3 linked regions of the Coturnix japonica genome follow. The protein of the gene in region 1 interacts with the protein of each later gene in a pairwise test. Links are inferred from orthologs where the notes say so. Each region holds a gene or a part of one and is shown in the gene's direction. Other genes may lie near its edges.

Region 1 (6,256 bases):
TTTTTCCTCTTTAACTTGACCTCTCCCTCCCTTAGAGAGATTCTCCGCATGTACTGGCTCCATCCTTCTCACACAATGCTATGCTGAAATAACGTTCAAGAGAGAACTTGAATTCCTAGAAAAAAAAGGCTTGATATTTAGAATGAGACACGGCCGAGAACAGAAAGACGGAATGTCTGCAGTGTGTCCTGTGCCTCTCCGGAGGTGCTGTGAGGTGATGGATGTCAGTCATGCACTGCCTCTGCCTGTTTCTGAACTAGTGGTGTTAGTGCAAGCACTTCCATGAGATGTGAACTACCCCACAGGTAACTTGTGTCCTGTGTACAGTCGGTATTTTACCCAGCAGCAGTTTATCATGAGCAGAAAGATTATCTGTGGTTACGATCTTGATTGCCCAGCAAATTGGTGAATGCCTGCGGAAGCAGGAGGAGAATGTGCAGCTGCAGAGTGTGTGGGTTCTTCACTGTTTCACAGCAGGGGCTGGCGGCTGAGTGCCCAAGATGCCACAGGATCCTGACAGCGTTTGTTGTGGGCACTGGATGTGTATGAGCCTCATTCTGTAGCAGGCCATCCTGAGATTGTGGCAGAGCCTCGAGTGTTAAATGTGCTGCTGTTCCCTTTGGGTGCTTTGCATTATGAGGCTAGCAAAGGTCTGCATCCAGCCAGAGGCAGATCAACGCTATCTAAACAGACCAGGATGGCACAACTCTGTCTTTGTTGAGGGAGCAAAAGTATATATTTCAGCTACAGATAATTTTTTTTCATTCCCCCATTTTTTCCTCTTTCCCCATTCCTGCAGTAAATGCTACCTGCCAGCTTTAGGGCATGGGCCTGTTTGTATTATGGTCAGTTCACATGCCCATGTTTGCTGTCAAAGTGCTTTGCCCATTGTGCAGACGCAGATCTGCTTGGCTCAATGTGATACAGTGGGGGTTTTGTTTCTGCTGTATACAAAACATGGAATTTGGGTTGTTTTTTGTTTTTTGTTTTTTTTGTGAGGGAAAAAATGTTCAGAAATGAGAATGTCATAAAGCCAGAACAGAGATCCTTACACAAATTAAGTGAAAACCTGCAGCATGGTGTGTCAGAGATCCAACCAGGTCATCTGTCCAAATGGGATCAGGGATTGTGCCGTTCTGTCTTCCATATAGCAAAGAAAACAGAAGAGGCTTTTGATTGCAATGCCTACCCATGGTGCCAAAAACAGTGGCCTCCAAGCTACCCCGTTATTACTTTTCTCTAATTAAGAATTGGTAATTCAGACTGTGGTATGTAGGACACACAGAGTGCCCAGCTACGAGATTGCACGTGACCAAATGATTTGCTTGTCTGGGCGTTTTTGTGCGCAGGGACTCCCTTGGGTAATGGGCAGAGGTAAAAATCTGATGCGTGTGAGGGAACTTGGAGTAAGCGACATGCTTACCTTGCTTGTTCCTAGGGATATTGTTTTCTCAGTATATTTAGGTGGGAAATACATTTGCTTCCCAGTCTTGAAGCTGTTGTACCAAGGGAAGGTACTGCACAAAAGAAAGAAGGAGAAGTTAATGTGTGGAATGCTGTAACTGGGGCTCAGAGAGCATAAGGACTTAAAATTAGTTTAGCACATCGCTTGGCAGATGGGGAGTCGATTATGTAAATGTAGGAAAGTGGTAGTTGGATTCACTTGGTCTAATTTAAACACTGCTTCTAATCATTTTCAGCACGCGTACAGAGAATTATAGGATAACCATCACTCTGCCAGGAGGGCTCTTCATCTTTAAATTTAAATCCATGAAAGAGTCCCCTATTAAAACATAAACATGCTGTGATAACAAGCAGCTAATGATGCAGGCAGGTTAGTCCAGCTGGTCAGCTGCGCACACACATAGTAAAGACGAGGCCTTTTCTCATATGCTCCAAGTCACTGGAAGGGGCCACTGCAGGGTCAGGGGGTCGCTCCGGCTCCTGCTCCAGCTCCGGCTCCATTCATGTCCCGCAGCCCCGTCCCAGCTCCTCCGTGCCGGCAGTGGGCGCACGGGGCCATGATTAGGGCTGCTGGGACATGCGCAGGAGGAGCCGCCGGCCGCGCCCCGCCCCCGGTGCGGTGGGGGTCCGGCGCGCTCCTGCCCGCGGCGCGAGGCCGGGCCTGGCGGCGGGGAGCGGAGAGAGGGAGCGGAGCGGAGGGAGGACGGGAGGGAGGTGCAGGAGGGAGGACGGGCAGACGAGCGGACGGTCGTGGGGTGAGAGGATGTGAAGATGGCGGAGCTGCAGATGCTGCTGGAGGAGGAGATCCCCGGGGGGCGCCGGGCCCTGTTCGACAGCTACACGAACCTGGAGCGGGTGGCCGAGTACTGCGAGACCAACTACATCCAGGTGCGGCGGGGCGGGGCCCGACGGCCGAGCATAGCGGTCGGCCCTGGCGGTCGCCGTCCGCGTGGCGCGGTGCTGAGCGGCGGCAGCGGCGCTTCCTCCCCCGCTCCGCGTTGCGCCGGGCCCGGGCCGCATCGTGCTCCTCGGTGAGGCGGAACAAAAACAGGACGGCAGCATCAGTAACGGCCGCGGGTCGTTCCGCCGTGGTGTCGGTGCTGAGTGCAGTGAGAGGGCTCCCGGAGCTTGTGCCTTCCGTCCCCGAGAGCGCTTGTGTGATGGCAGGGGGAGCGGGCCGTGCCCGGGTGGGCGACACGAGGGGGAAGCATTGGGGGTGCGCTGTGTGGGATGCTGAGCGACCAGCCGACCTCTAGTGGGAAATGTCTGCGGATCTGGGGTCATTTACCGAACAGCGATGCGATTAATAAGGTTTCATACGCTGAATTAGCGTGACTTATGTTCTTTAAGAGAAACGCGCTGAAGTATTTTGTTGTAGTCATAAACTGACATTAATGTTTGTGCTGTTTTAAAAAGAAGGAAATGGGGCTTTTTCTGGAAGAGGAGCTGTGAATGGCAGAACCGGATAGGAAGAGGTGCATTTAGCTTGTTGTTTTGCTCTCCCCACGACCTTTTACTGTTCTCTTCTTGTAAACCAAGGATTATAAAATCTGTATTGAACAGCTCCACTTTTATTGTTTCAGTAAAAATTGCAGAGCAAGATTCTGTGATATTTCATGCAGAGAATGGAAAGAGGGGGGTCTTCCCATAGCTGGCATATAAAGGCAGCCTGAGCCGAGGGCAGCCAGCTGGTGAGGGAAAGCAGGGAGTGAGGCTGGGTTGGTCAGCCCACCGGGTTCTGGCCGCTGTGCAGCACACCGCAGTTGTTGGCAATTTGTCCAAGCATCGCGGCAACACAGGGATGTAAGAGGGAGGTGAGAACAGAAGGCAGAAATTGTGTTGTGGTGCTGACTGTGAGGTGCAGTATGGGATCACTGACTGGAAAAATAAAGATGTGAAACAAGTGGGGAGCGGAGGACCATAGCTAGGTGATGATGGTAGGCTTAGGCTATTGGGGTTGGCAGAGAGACTGCAAGGTGACGTTGCAGAGGAGTCCAACTTGAGGAGATGCTGGATTGAGTGACGTGAGTGTCCTTGTAACAAATCTGATGGAGAACTCACCCTACGTTCTCCGTGCCAGAACTGCATAAACTCTTCATTGGGATAAATACCCAAAGCTATTTTGTTTGTCTTCCTTCTGCAAGGAAGGGAAATGGATACAACTAACATCACTGGGGATTTTGTTTCCAATAATAGTAATTCCAAAAATCAATATACCCAATTCAGTCTAAATTACATATTTTATGCAAGCTTGGATTTGGTGGAGATGTGCACGTTGGGAATGCGTGTGAGAATCATCTTCCAGAAAGTCAGAAAATCTTCCAGAAGATCGACTAGTTCTACTGTAATCTTTTAATGTTCCGTTGCTGACAGAAGGGTTTATCATGGATATTCTTGAGGTCTCCTGACAGGGACTCAGTGTATGACTGAGATCTGAGTTTGATCTACTGAATGATAGGCAGCACAGCAATCAGTGCTTGCAGGAATGACACTGGCATGTATTTGTCAGTAGACAAGCTCAATTGGTGCTGAGAGGTTATTTTATTGTCAGGTACATAAATTGTTGCAAAAAGCAGAGGCGTTGGTCAGTTTTTTAAAGAATTTGAAGTTCAGTGCTATAAGATGAATGTGTTCTATCTCTGCCTCCATTGACAGTTACATAGCAGCTGGAGAATAATGGAACAGTAATCTCTTACATGTTGGGACTGACAGGTCAGAGTCAGAGAGCTGTGGTGTTTGCAACTCATTTGGATTCTACTTATGAAGTGAAAAGCATTCCTTGAATGTTGGTGGTTCATTATACAAATTGTTCTTGATACTTGCAGAGCTCAGTTACTTCAGCAACAGAGAATGTTAAATGAATTGTTAAGGTTCTCTGAAGTCTGTATTATAGCAGCATATCAGAGCACATCAGCTTAAAATTTTGTGACAAGTCACTGGGAAATATTGGAAATATGTAGTAAAATAGAACTGCAGCAATGAAAGATGAAAAGCTACTGCTTGGATATTGCAAGAAGAAACATGTAAAGAACGATTTTCACCTGCATAGTACGACAGTTCAGCTCCTTCTCTGTGATTATTTCACTTTATATAAGAATATTAGTATGTATTTTTGGAAAGTTTTAAGTGTAAGTGCACAAGTAAGACAGTTTGATCAGCTTCTGTTACTGCCAATATCAAATAACTTTGCTTTCCAGGTAGCTCTTCTCAGTACCGTAGAAAACATAGTTACTTCTCTGTTGTACTTCCCGAAGAGGGGGCTAATACAGGCTGTTATTTAGGAGGAGATTTTTGTGGGATTTGATACAATGTTAATCAGAAGTTAAATTGTATACTGTTTCTGCAGGCCTTTGTGTACTAGTGCTGCATTCTGATACCAAGTTCTCAGTCTAAACTGCAACAAAGTAGTTCTATAAAATCTGATTGCTTCATTTACTTGTTACTGTATAAAAACATATTTAGGTCTGCATTGATCTCCATGAAAAGCAAGAGTTACTTAATTGGACAGTGCGCTGTATTTACTAGATTTTCATATTCCAGCATTATTTTTGATCAGGAATGTGATAAAGAAAGTTTCTGGTTATGATGATATAAATGACGAACACCCTTTTGAGCACTGGTGTGACTTGCTTGTTTTATTACTGGTACACCACTGTAAGTTCCAGCGCTGCATTGGCCTTTTCACTTTCTTTAAGCTTGTTCTGAACAAGTCTGTCTGGGGCTCATCTCTAACTTGCTTCCAAACAATTGGAACTTTTAAAAACGAAATCATTTTTTTACTTAATGCATTGCATATAGAACTTTCAAGAGTAATTGAATGCTTGTGTCTGAACTCACTGTTTTGAAAGAGTCAGAAAGAATTCCTAGATAGACATTTTCAGCCACTGGATATCTAGCAGGACCAGACTCAGGGTGGGGGCAAGGCCAGAGAGCAATGCAGCATGCAGAGCTGGGTGAAAAGCCACGGCCCTGTGCCCTGTCCAGCCTCCAGAAGGTGAGTGTGCTGTGTTTGCCAGATTCTTCAAGCAGGATCTGGATTTCTTAGTCTTTCTAGACTATTATGCTTTGTTGTGTGGAGAGGAAGAGCGAACTTCCCATTTCCATCACTTTGCAGCCTTCAGGTTGCTATGGGTATTGAGTCTCATACATAGAAATAAGCTTCCCATATTTCTAAGGGAAAGGCAGGGAAGAATATATATATTTTTTCCTTTTCTGAAAGTATTCCATCCTTCTAGGTACTAGAAGTACCTGCTTTCAGACCCTGCAATAGCTTTTTTTAAATAAACATAATGGTGAGAATTACCTGTTTCTCAGTAATTTTATTATAGCCCATGGGTTGATCAGTTTCTTAGTTGCTTTCCGCATGCCTGTTAATTTTACTTTGTCCTGTTAAGCCAAACCAAGTCATTGTACTTCTGACAGCATCTTCCAATGAGGTGAAGAAGAGAGTGGAACATCCATTGGCATAGAAATTGCAATTTCTGTAATTATGACAGCTTGAGTCCTACAACAGGAAACTTCTGCTTCTGCGAACTGTCAATTTCTTATATACTTATTTAAATTCCAGAATTATTTTTGCTCTCTTGAGATGCATATCACCTTAACAAAATGTAACTATGCTGAAAGTATTAAAAATATAACAGAGGAGCGCTGTTGGTGTCTCAGATTTGAATTCTCTTAAATGAAATAATGAGGCAGTGGTTAGGCACATACTGTACCTTCCTGAGTTGCAGAAACTTCTACAGCACCTCCCTCTGCTAAAGGCGAATGGAGCACTTGCTGGTAGGTTGGC
Region 2 (4,783 bases), on another chromosome or scaffold:
TCTTTCCTGCTCCCTCTGTCATTAAATGTATCGTTAACTTTGCGAGCTAAACATATTTTGCAACAAGCACCTTTTCCTACTGCTATGAAACATTCACCAGGAAGTTCATTTGAAATATTGCAAAACTGTGAACCTTATAAGACTCAGATAGTCTGCCAGGGTAAATCTTGGAAAACTTTAATTAAAAACAAAACAAACAACAAACAAACCCAAAAGGTCACGGCAAACTTACGTACTCTAAAACACCTCAGAACTGCAAAATCACTCAAATGAAGAGTTTGGCAAAATTTGCAGACCCAGTCAGTAACTGCAAGAAAAGAAACACACCCACCAGAACCTGAAATTGACCAAATTCTAACTCTGTTGAGATATCAATGGGCACCACTGTCATTAGACTACCCCTAAGGCTGTTAATACCACAGCTATGCTCAGGCAGCCTGTGCAACATGGACAAAATATGGCCCACATCACCCGCACAAACAGCCTGAGCCAGCACTGCTGCCAAGAGATGGTTGTGTACGACCAGGAAAACTTCCTGCAGCATTGCAGCACACGGTGATGATCAGATGCACTCAGTCATGTAAGCAGCACGAGCACAGCCTGCAGCCCTTACAGAACATCTCTGCAGACCACAGACCTGGGAATGTTACCAAACTCTATGGGACAGCTCAAATTAAATGCACAATGTTCCTCACATCCGTTAACCAGCCTGGATTAGACTCAAAACAAGATAGAATCTAGAAGCAGCAGAGCACGCAGCTCGCAGTGAGGTGAGCAGCAGCGCTGCAGTGTGACCCGCAGGGTGCAGCTCTCGGGGATGCACCACCCGACCAGCACGGGCTGTTCCTAAACGCTGCTCGCAGTGAAATCACTGCAGGGGACAAAGTTCCCATTGGTTTTGTGCTTGCAAAATCCTACTGACTGCCCACACACACACACGGTACCTGGGAACTCAGCGCTGCATTTTCCTCCTCCAATGCAACGCGCTCCTCCCCTTATTGCTCAGTCCCACTGTCCTCAAACACTTCTGTCGGTTTGCTTCTCCTTGTTTGCTTTCTCTTCTCTGCCCTTCTCACACCAGCCCCGCTCTGGTCCATATTAGTAATGACAGATGTCGCTTCAAGTGCACTAACACAGTTACAGGCACGAGAAGCACACGCGGGGGTGTAAATTCTGAGGCCTGGGGGGCAAGCAACCAGGTGGCAGGGAAAGGTGAAGAACTGTGCAGAACAAAGGGGGGAAACGATAAAAACACGTGTTTGCCAGATACAGAGTGCAGCAGTGATATGTGCCTTCACTTATTGACGCACATGAGCTGCCCACAGCCCGCCCCGCACGCGGAGCGCAGCCAGCAGCCGCACCGCCCACAACATGGCGGCCGGGGAGTAACGCCCACAACATGGCGGCCGCCGGTGTCCGGAGCGCCCCGTTGTGCCCCGTGCCGGCGGCGCGGTCCAGCTGATCGGCTGGTTCTGGTTCTCAGCTCGGGATGGAGCTGGGCAGGTTGGAGTACCTGCAGGCCCTCGTCACGGAGTTCCAGGTGACAGACAGCCCAGGTAACCCCGCGTACAAAAGCGAAATCTCCATCTACCACAGCCCCCCTTGCCCCGTTTGACGCGTTGCTTCCCCGGCAGAGGCCAGGCGGCAGGTGCTGGCCAACCTGGCCAACTTCGCCTACGACCCCAAGAACTACGAGTATCTGCGGCAGCTCCAGGTGCTGGACCTGTTCCTCGACATGCTGACGGAGGACGACGAGACCCTGGTGGAATTCGCTATGGGTGAGCACAGCGCTGGGTGCGCCCCGATGCTTTCCCTGTTTCTCTAAAACACAGGTAACAAACCGGGGAAAATGAAAATAAACGCTGCAGCCACACGGCGCCATAAATGCCATCACTGCACTGAGATGGACAGGAGAAAATAAAAGGCAACGTAGGGCAATTAAAAACCCATCATTTAATTCCTGGTACCTTGAAGACCGATTGCCCCCTTACCACACAGGGAAACTGTCTGTGCATGTTGCCTTAAGAAAAGTAGTAAAGATGGAGTGTCCGTCTGCGGACAACTCAGTGCCGGCACCACACAGGTCAGGGCCCAACTGCTGGTACCAACAGACGGAACGTGCTCCAGCTGCTGCCATTCATTCCCAGATGAGGTGCCCTTCAGAGCATGGAGTGTGTCCGGATGAGGCTGCAGAAAGAATCTGTCTTGCATGTGTCAGATGCTTTTTTCGCTATTTCAGGTGGTCTTTGCAACCTGTGCTTGGATAAAACTAACAAAGACTATATCCTGGAGGCCAATGGGGTAGAGCCCATAATAAACTGCCTCTCCAGCTCCAACGAAGAGACAGTCATGTCAGCAGTCACAGCCCTGATGTATCTGACAACGCCGCAGTCGTGCCAGCAGACCACAGCTCTCCCGGTGGTGGAATGCATGCTTCGCTTCTCCCTGTCGGCCAGCAGAAGGCTGAGCAATCTGGCCACGATCTTCCTGGAGGATTATTGCACGCCCCTGCAGGTGGAAGAGGCCAGGAACCTGAGCAAACACACAGCGGTGGGGATTCCTCTCCCGAAGGATTGAAGCTGTCAGAGCAGCTTGGAGCTGCTGCGAGGAGCACCCCCTGTTTGCTCAGGTCTGCACCTAATGCTGAGTAGGTCAAGAGTGTGATGAGAACAGTAAAGCAGGAAATCAGACTAGCATTGGATTTTAGTTAGTATTGAAAAGGACCATACAGCACTATAACAGGCCAAGAACGTGGCTGAAAATGGAAGCAAATATTTTAAATAAAAAAGGTGATGGCTGCTGTGCAGCTCTGAACCAGCTTACAGGTATAACCCTTATAGCAGTTACTTTCTCTGCTCGGGTTATTGTTCAGCTTGTATCACTTCCAGTTCCTGGCTGATTTTGCCACAGCTTTCCAGTGTCAACTCAGATGACTTTGAAATGACCCAAACTTCATCCCTCCTGCAGAAGAAATGCGTTTCCCTGCCCTGGTAATTTGCAATCCTATTACATACCTTTGGTACTATACATACTGTCTTATCATCCTGCCCTAGAACAGGTGATAGCTATCCCATAGGTCAGGAAGCAGAAAGCTGTATTTCCCTCATTACCACTGGTGAGAAAGGTGCAGGTAGGAAAAGGGTTTATGGCATTCAGGTTCACAAGAAAAGCCTTTTCTTAATAAAACATTAACGGAGCTGTTGTGTAAACAGTTCTGTGTAAGCTCGTAAATGTTCCTGTACAGCTCTTGCAGCGCAGCCTCTGCTGCTCCCACTAATGCACGTGGGCTGGGAGTTGGAGCCACTTTGCTCTCCTTTTATGATCAGCCAATCGTGCAAAAGGTAACCTGGAGCCAGGGCGGCAAACTGCCCAAAGGCATAGAACGGGGTGGCCCTTTACCACGGTGCTTCTGAAAGGCTGCGAGTTCCAGAGTTCTGCTTTCTCCCCCTCCACTCAGCTCAAAACACGCCATAGTGAGCTTACACCACAGCTGGCTGTTTGTCTTTATAGTTATTCTTCATAACATCACTGCGGCTCCGGCCGCACCAGGACGAGGCACCGTGAGGTGAACCCCGCAACCCCCGCATGAAGCCGAGCGGCCCCTGGCGGCACCACGGCCCCGAGTGGAACCTCCGGCCACAAGCGGGTGGAACTGCCGGCCTGGCCTTAGTGCGGGGCCAGGCGGCTCCGCTGTGCGCTGCGGGAACCTTCATCGGACGGCTGGGCGCGCTCCAACTGCACTCAGTGTTTAGGAGCTGTAGCCTGCTCCGCTGCTCGCTTCTTTCATAAAGCAGATGTTGGACACTTCACACGGAGGCAGCACGTGGTGGTGCCCCATCAGCTGCACTCACGCTCCTGTTCCGCTCCATCCCAGCCCTCTCCATTAGTGCAGGACAACTGAGAGCAGTGCAGAACCAGACCCACAAATAAAACCCACGCAGGAAACATTGCTTCAAAATGTCTATATTATTTACTGTAAGCAACAGTCCAGCTTCGTGAAATTACAACACACACTTTTAAGGATGAGGCTTTCACCCCATGGTCAAGCACCAGCATGATCATGCACAGCATTGAATCAGTTCTAAAAAAAAGAAAAAACCGCCCCGGAATTTGTTCTTTATTTCTACGATCCACTCCACCTTCACCGAACAAAGCCCAGTCAATGCCCTCCCAGCCTCAGGCCAGGTGACGCTGCTCATCAGCCACTATTTGGCACATACCCTGCTTAAAATGGTCCAGTATCAATGTATTGTAAAGGCAGCATGGTGTACACTAACCACTTCAAATGGCACAGCAGGGCTCAAGGCATTCACCCCACACAGACAAGGAGTTCCTTTGGATCCCCACAGTTCACATGTGGAAGAAGGGATGGCTCTTGCTGATCGTTTGCTGGCCTCTTTAACCACGTCTCTCGACCCTCGTACAGCGAAGGGGTTCTACAAACCTCAGGACAGAAACCCTCTAAGCACACTTAGGACCAATCTACTCTCCTTTCAATTACATTACTATACTTCATAAAGCTTTCCCTCAAGTCTATCACTAGAAAACACTCATGTAACTTCCAGCAGATCTAGGGGAAAAACACAGGACAAAAGTGGGAAAAAACCTTGATCTCAAAAGACAGGGGAAAAAAAAAAAAAAAAAAAGATGGAGTACATAAAGTGCTTCTTTTTAATTGAAAGAAATTCGAGATGTACAGTCAGGCTCACGAGCATGGGGGGGGAGAAGGGCAAGAAACAGACACAAGTTCAAAACAGTCAGGAAAGGAAAGGAAAGGTTTAAC
Region 3 (5,032 bases), on another chromosome or scaffold:
AATGCTTTGCTGTGGGCATTGCAAGTCAAAAACTGAGCCCTGCATTGCAATGGTGGGGTCTGCACTGTGATGGTGAGCCTTGCACTGTGATACTGGGGCATGCAATGTGATGGTGAGCCCCATAATGCAATGGTGAGCCCCATATTGCAATGGTGAGTCCTGTACTGTGATAGTGAGCCCCAAATTGTGATGGTGAGCTCCACACTGCTGGGGTGCTCAGCTCCTGCAGCATCACATCAAGAACCATAAGCAATAGGTGAACAAGGAACGCCAAGGGCAGACGTGTCTGGCCCATCTGGTGGCCTCCATTGATGGCATTGGTGGACAAAGGAAGGGCACAGGCTGCAGTTGTGCAGGGCCTTTGCACGGCCCCACACTGTGCCCATTTCTCTCAATAGGAGAGAGGTGGGTTTGAAGGGTGGGCTGTTTGGTGGGTAAGGAAGTGGTTGGATGGTCATAGCTTGGGATCTGTGGTCGTGGTGGTCCTACAGACCCCCCTGCGCTGCAACTATGGGGGGGCAGAGGGCAGGGAGGGGACTGTCCCGTCTGCTCAGCCCTTGTGGGGACCCACCTGCAGTGATGCATCCAGGTCTGGGATCAGGCTGTGGGATGCTCTGAGCTCTGAGCACCAAAGATCCTCTGCTATGGAAACGTGCTGATGGAGCAGCCATGGAGGCTCCGGGGAGACCTCACTGCAGCCCTCCAGTACTTGGGGAGGGGGCTTACAGGGAGGAGGGGGAGTGACTTTTACCTGCCTGATAGCAATATGGTGATGGGGAGAACTGGATGCCCTTTAAGGCCGACCCCACTCTAAGCCCTTCTCGCACCCACGATGCCCGCAGCAGGTGCGGGGCTCTGGGACACAGCGCAGACCCCAGACCCACGGAGGGTCCCACGGAGCGGGGTCTGAGCGGCACCGGGTCGGGATGGGTGGGCGTGGGGGGGGCAGAGCATCACGGCTGGGGGGGGTAGGAAGGAATTGGGGGGGGGGGGGCAGCTGGGCGCCCCCCCCCCCCCCGATCCCGGGGGGGGGGGGGGGGGGCGAGGGGGGGGGGGGGGGGGGAATTGGGGGGGGGGGGAGCAGCTGAGCGCCCCGCACCGCCCGGATCGCGGCGGGGGCGGAGACGGCCGTGGGCCCGCCCGGCCCGGGGAGGCGGCGGCGGGGCGGCAGGTGGTGCCGAGCAGCCGCAGGACGGAGCGGATCGCAGCCGCCATTAGACAATAGGCGGCGGCTCGGGGCACAGCGGCGCGGGGCGGCCGCGGGGCCGGGCCCGGCGCGGACAAAGGCGGACGGGGAAAGAACGGAACGGAGCGGAGCGGAGCGGAGCGGAGCGGAGCGGGGCGAGGGGACCGCTGCGGGCGGTGGAACGGGCTGCAGCCTGACATGATGTTTCCACAAAGCCGACACTCGGTACGGCGGCACCGGGAGGAGCGAGGAAGGAAGGAAGGAAGGAAGGAGGGAAGGACGGGGGGGAGCACCGAGAGCCGCCCCCTGCCCGCCCGCAGCCACCGGGAACCGGAGCGGGGGGTGCGGGTGACCTTGGGCGGCGGCGGGCTGCGGTGGGGGGGCGGGCAGGGCTGCGGGCCCCCCATTGGGTGTGCAGCGCTGTGTGTGTTGTTCAAGGGCTCCTCTCACCTGCCGCAGCAGCTCAAGTTCACCACCTCCGACTCGTGCGACCGCATCAAGGACGAGTTCCAGCTCCTGCAGGCCCAGTATCACAGGTACGTGCCGGTACCGCCCCCACCGACCGCCCCGAGCATCCCGGGGGGGTCCGCAGTGCGCCCGGAGCTGGGATCCTCCGCTTTGGCATCGCTGCCCTGCACGGACCGGGACGCAGCGTGGCCAAGAGATGGGCTCCGTGCGGCACGACGCGCTGCCCTCCCAGCCCAGCACAGGTTTACCCCCAGGCTCAGCCTCCCCAGGCCGGTATCACCTCCAGGTCCCACCTGGAGGACCGATGTGAGCATCCCAAGGAGGGGGGGGGGACGCCCGGTGTGCACCCATTGCTGCCTTCCTTTCCTTTGGCCACGCAGTTCGGCCCAGAGTTGGCCAAAAGCTGCAATCCAGGCAGGGAACGCTCTGCTCACTGCCCAAAAGGTGGGATTCTGGAAGGAGAAGGAAGGAGAACGCTCTGCCTCCCCCACAGCCAGGTCTTACCCCAATGCAGGACTCCATGCACAGCTCTTCCATCCCTCCATCCATGCACAGCTCTTCCATCCCTCCATCCATGCACAGCTCTTCCATCCCTCCATCCCTGTGCAGCTCTTCCATCCCTCCATCCATGCACAGCTCTTCCATCCCTCCATCCCTGTGCAGCTCTTCCATCCCTCCATCCATGTGCTGCTCTTCCATCCCTCCATCCCTGTGCAGCTCTTCCATCCCTCCATCCCTGTGCAGCTCTTCCATCCCTCCATCCATGTGCTGCTCTTTCATCCCTCCATCCATGTGCAGCTCTTCCATCCCTCCATCCATGTGCAGCTCTTCCAGCCCTCCCTCCTCTCGCTGGGAGTTTTCCTCCCCTCTCCCTGCTGGCTGCCATTCTTGGCTCACAAATGCTGCAGGGAGCACTTAAAGCCAAATGCTTCCGCTTTTCCGCCTGCGGAATGGCTTCTGCTGACCCAAAAGCTGGCTGCCGATGGGCTCTCTTGCTGTTTGCTTCCTAGCTGCACGCATGCACCAAACCATTGCTCCGTGTGTTGCCCTTTCCCTATTGCTCCCACCTCCCCGAGCTCTGCATCGTGCAGCATTGTGGCCCCCCCTTGCAGGACCCGATCTGCTCACAGAGCAGCAGGTTTGGTGGAGGTGAAGCTGTTTCTTGTTTGAAACATAAAACCAGCACATGCTGCTTGCAGCTGCCGGGCTGGGGAGCTGCACAGAGCACAGCGAGCAGCACGTCTGCTCTTAAGGGTGCAAAGAACCCAAAGGAAAGGGGGAAAAGGCATCATTCCAGAGGCCTGCACTGCACCTGGGCTTCCCCAGTATAGGAGGATCTGGTTGCTTTGCTGAGCTGCACTGGGCACACAACAGGCTGGGATGGACCCTGCAGGATGCAACCCAGGATGCAACCCGCTGCCCTGCTGCTTCTCTCACTGCTTTCTGCCTTTGCAGCTTGAAGTTGGAATGCGACAAACTCGCCAGCGAGAAATCGGAGATGCAGCGTCACTACGTCATGGTGAGGAGCTGCCGGGGCAGCGCGTGGGTGGGGAGCAGGTGCTGCTGCTGCTGGGCTCGTGCAAACGGGGCTCCTCGTGCACACAGGGCTCCTCGTGCAAACAAACAGAGCTCCTCGTGCTCTGCACCCTGTGTGTGTGCTGGGTCGGTGGGTGCAGGATGGACATGCAGGGTGTGAGCAGGGAGCTGCTGTCTGTGTGCAGAGCTGCTCTGCTGCTTGAGCAAACTTGGAGTGCTCAGGAATTGACTTCCCGTGCCAATAGCTTGCACTGGAGCTGCCTGTTGTGTGAGGGGGGTGGGTTATTTTGCGTGTGTGTTTCCTGCAGCTCCTTCCCAAGCAGCTGGAGCTGTGTGCAGCTGGAGCACAGGGCTGAGCCCTTCCATTTGCTGCCGGAGCAGCCACGTGGGCGTTAGGAGATGGGCCAGGCACAGCAAACAGAGCCGGGCTGTGCCTGTTCCCAGCAGAGCACTGAGCTCTCCCTGTGATGCCAGGGCTCTGTGAAGGTGCTGAGTGGGCTCTGGGTTAGTTGAGGTCCCACCTGGGCTGGGGGCAGCAGGAAGGTACAGATGTGGGGGTCTCTTTGCATGCTGGAGTCCTCATCGTGTCTGTTTGTTCTCTTCTTCCCCACTCCGCAGTACTACGAGATGTCCTACGGGCTGAATATTGAGATGCACAAACAGGTATTGGGGGGGGTGGGCTGCCTGCTGTGCCTTCTGTCCCTTCAGTGGCATTTCAGGATGTCAAACGTCAGCACTGATTTTGGGATCTCCAGCTCTGGCATTGGGGAGCACCTTCACATTTTTTCCACCCCATGACCTTATAAAAACGTCTTTTCATGCAGGGAGGGGAAAAAAAAATAATCATTGTGGCCATGAGCTGCTTTTCCAAACCCTTCTGGAAGGGGGGACCCGGCTGGGGGTGCTCTGGCTCTGAGCTGGGCTGGGTGCAGTCAGTGCTGGGCACCTCGTGGTGGAGGCTCTGCTGTAGCCTGGCTGAGTCTGCCTGTTCCCCTTGCTGGTGGTTCAGCTGCTCAGGATCTGCAGTGGTTAATTACCTGCTGTTCACAACGTGAGCTCCTTGAGCTCTCGGTCACGGTTATCTGAACGTGTCCCAGCTCAGCTCAAAGCCTCTTAGCGCCGTTCTGCTCCCTTCAAACACACCCAGAGCCTCTGATCCCATCACCTCGGGAGGGAAATCTATTGGCTGAGCTGCAGGACTTGAGCCGTGGCTCCTCACTGCCATCTCCCAGTGTTTGCCTAAACCAGGTGCTGTGGGTCCCCTCACACTATTCCTCTCTGTTGTTTGTTTCTTGGTTTCTTTTTCTTCCCCTCTCCAGGCTGAAATTGTCAAGAGGCTCAATGGGATCTGTGCGCAGGTTCTGCCCTACCTTTCACAGGAGGTAACTGCCAAACCACCCAACTTGGAGGCTCTATAAGCAGCCCTGGGGTGCCCATGCCCTGATTCCTCCCCACCCGTGCCTGCTCCATGCAGGATGAGCCCTTCAGGAGAGGTTGGAGCCCACAGCTCAGCCCCCAGGCCATGCTGGGACTGGTGGGTCAGTCTGTCTGTCTGTCCGTCCCCTTTGTGGGGCAGCTGCAGACAAACTGGACTCTGTTCTCACCCCGCTCCCGTGACTCCCAGCTGCTTCTGGCCGGGTGCAGGCAGTGGTGGATGGCTGAACATTAAAAACTGCCTCCATATGGTTCCTGGAGACCAGGTTCCTCTGCCTCATTAATTAATGTGGCTCATGGGCTCCTCCCACTCCCTTGAGAAATTAATTGGGAGGGCTGTGGGGAGGGAGGGAGCTGCTGGAGCACCCTCAGTATGATGTCTGTCTGTCTGTCTGTCTGTCTGTCTGT

The links. The genes of interacting proteins can lie anywhere in the genome.
Region 2: the proteins of ABI2 (region 1) and ARMC7 interact in binary tests that used the Homo sapiens proteins (3 or more experiments, as listed by UniProt). The link is inferred for Coturnix japonica from reciprocal best matches to the Homo sapiens genes ABI2 and ARMC7.
Region 3: the proteins of ABI2 (region 1) and TLE family member 5 interact in binary tests that used the Homo sapiens proteins (3 or more experiments, as listed by UniProt). The link is inferred for Coturnix japonica from reciprocal best matches to the Homo sapiens genes ABI2 and TLE5.

Annotation. Positions count from the first base shown.
Region 1 is NC_029522.1:11,988,757-11,995,012, reverse strand, and holds the start of ABI2 (abl interactor 2), read left to right. Parts: upstream 1-2,203; 5' UTR 2,204-2,235; coding exon 2,236-2,352; intron 2,353-6,256. UniProt on the Homo sapiens protein: Regulator of actin cytoskeleton dynamics underlying cell motility and adhesion. Functions as a component of the WAVE complex, which activates actin nucleating machinery Arp2/3 to drive lamellipodia formation.
Region 2 is NC_029533.1:9,330,689-9,335,471, forward strand, and holds ARMC7 (armadillo repeat-containing protein 7), read left to right. Parts: upstream 1-1,366; 5' UTR 1,367-1,489; coding exon 1,490-1,556; intron 1,557-1,634; coding exon 1,635-1,778; intron 1,779-2,239; coding exon 2,240-2,577; 3' UTR 2,578-3,209; downstream 3,210-4,783. Other genes in the region: JPT1 (jupiter microtubule associated homolog 1), read right to left, coding at 4,779-4,783. UniProt on the Homo sapiens protein: As a component of the minor spliceosome, involved in the splicing of U12-type introns in pre-mRNAs.
Region 3 is NC_029543.1:644,224-649,255, reverse strand, and holds the start of TLE family member 5, read left to right. Parts: upstream 1-1,158; 5' UTR 1,159-1,384; coding exon 1,385-1,411; intron 1,412-1,624; coding exon 1,625-1,722; intron 1,723-3,109; coding exon 3,110-3,173; intron 3,174-3,808; coding exon 3,809-3,853; intron 3,854-4,509; coding exon 4,510-4,572; intron 4,573-5,032. UniProt on the Homo sapiens protein: Transcriptional corepressor. Acts as a dominant repressor towards other family members. Inhibits NF-kappa-B-regulated gene expression. May be required for the initiation and maintenance of the differentiated state.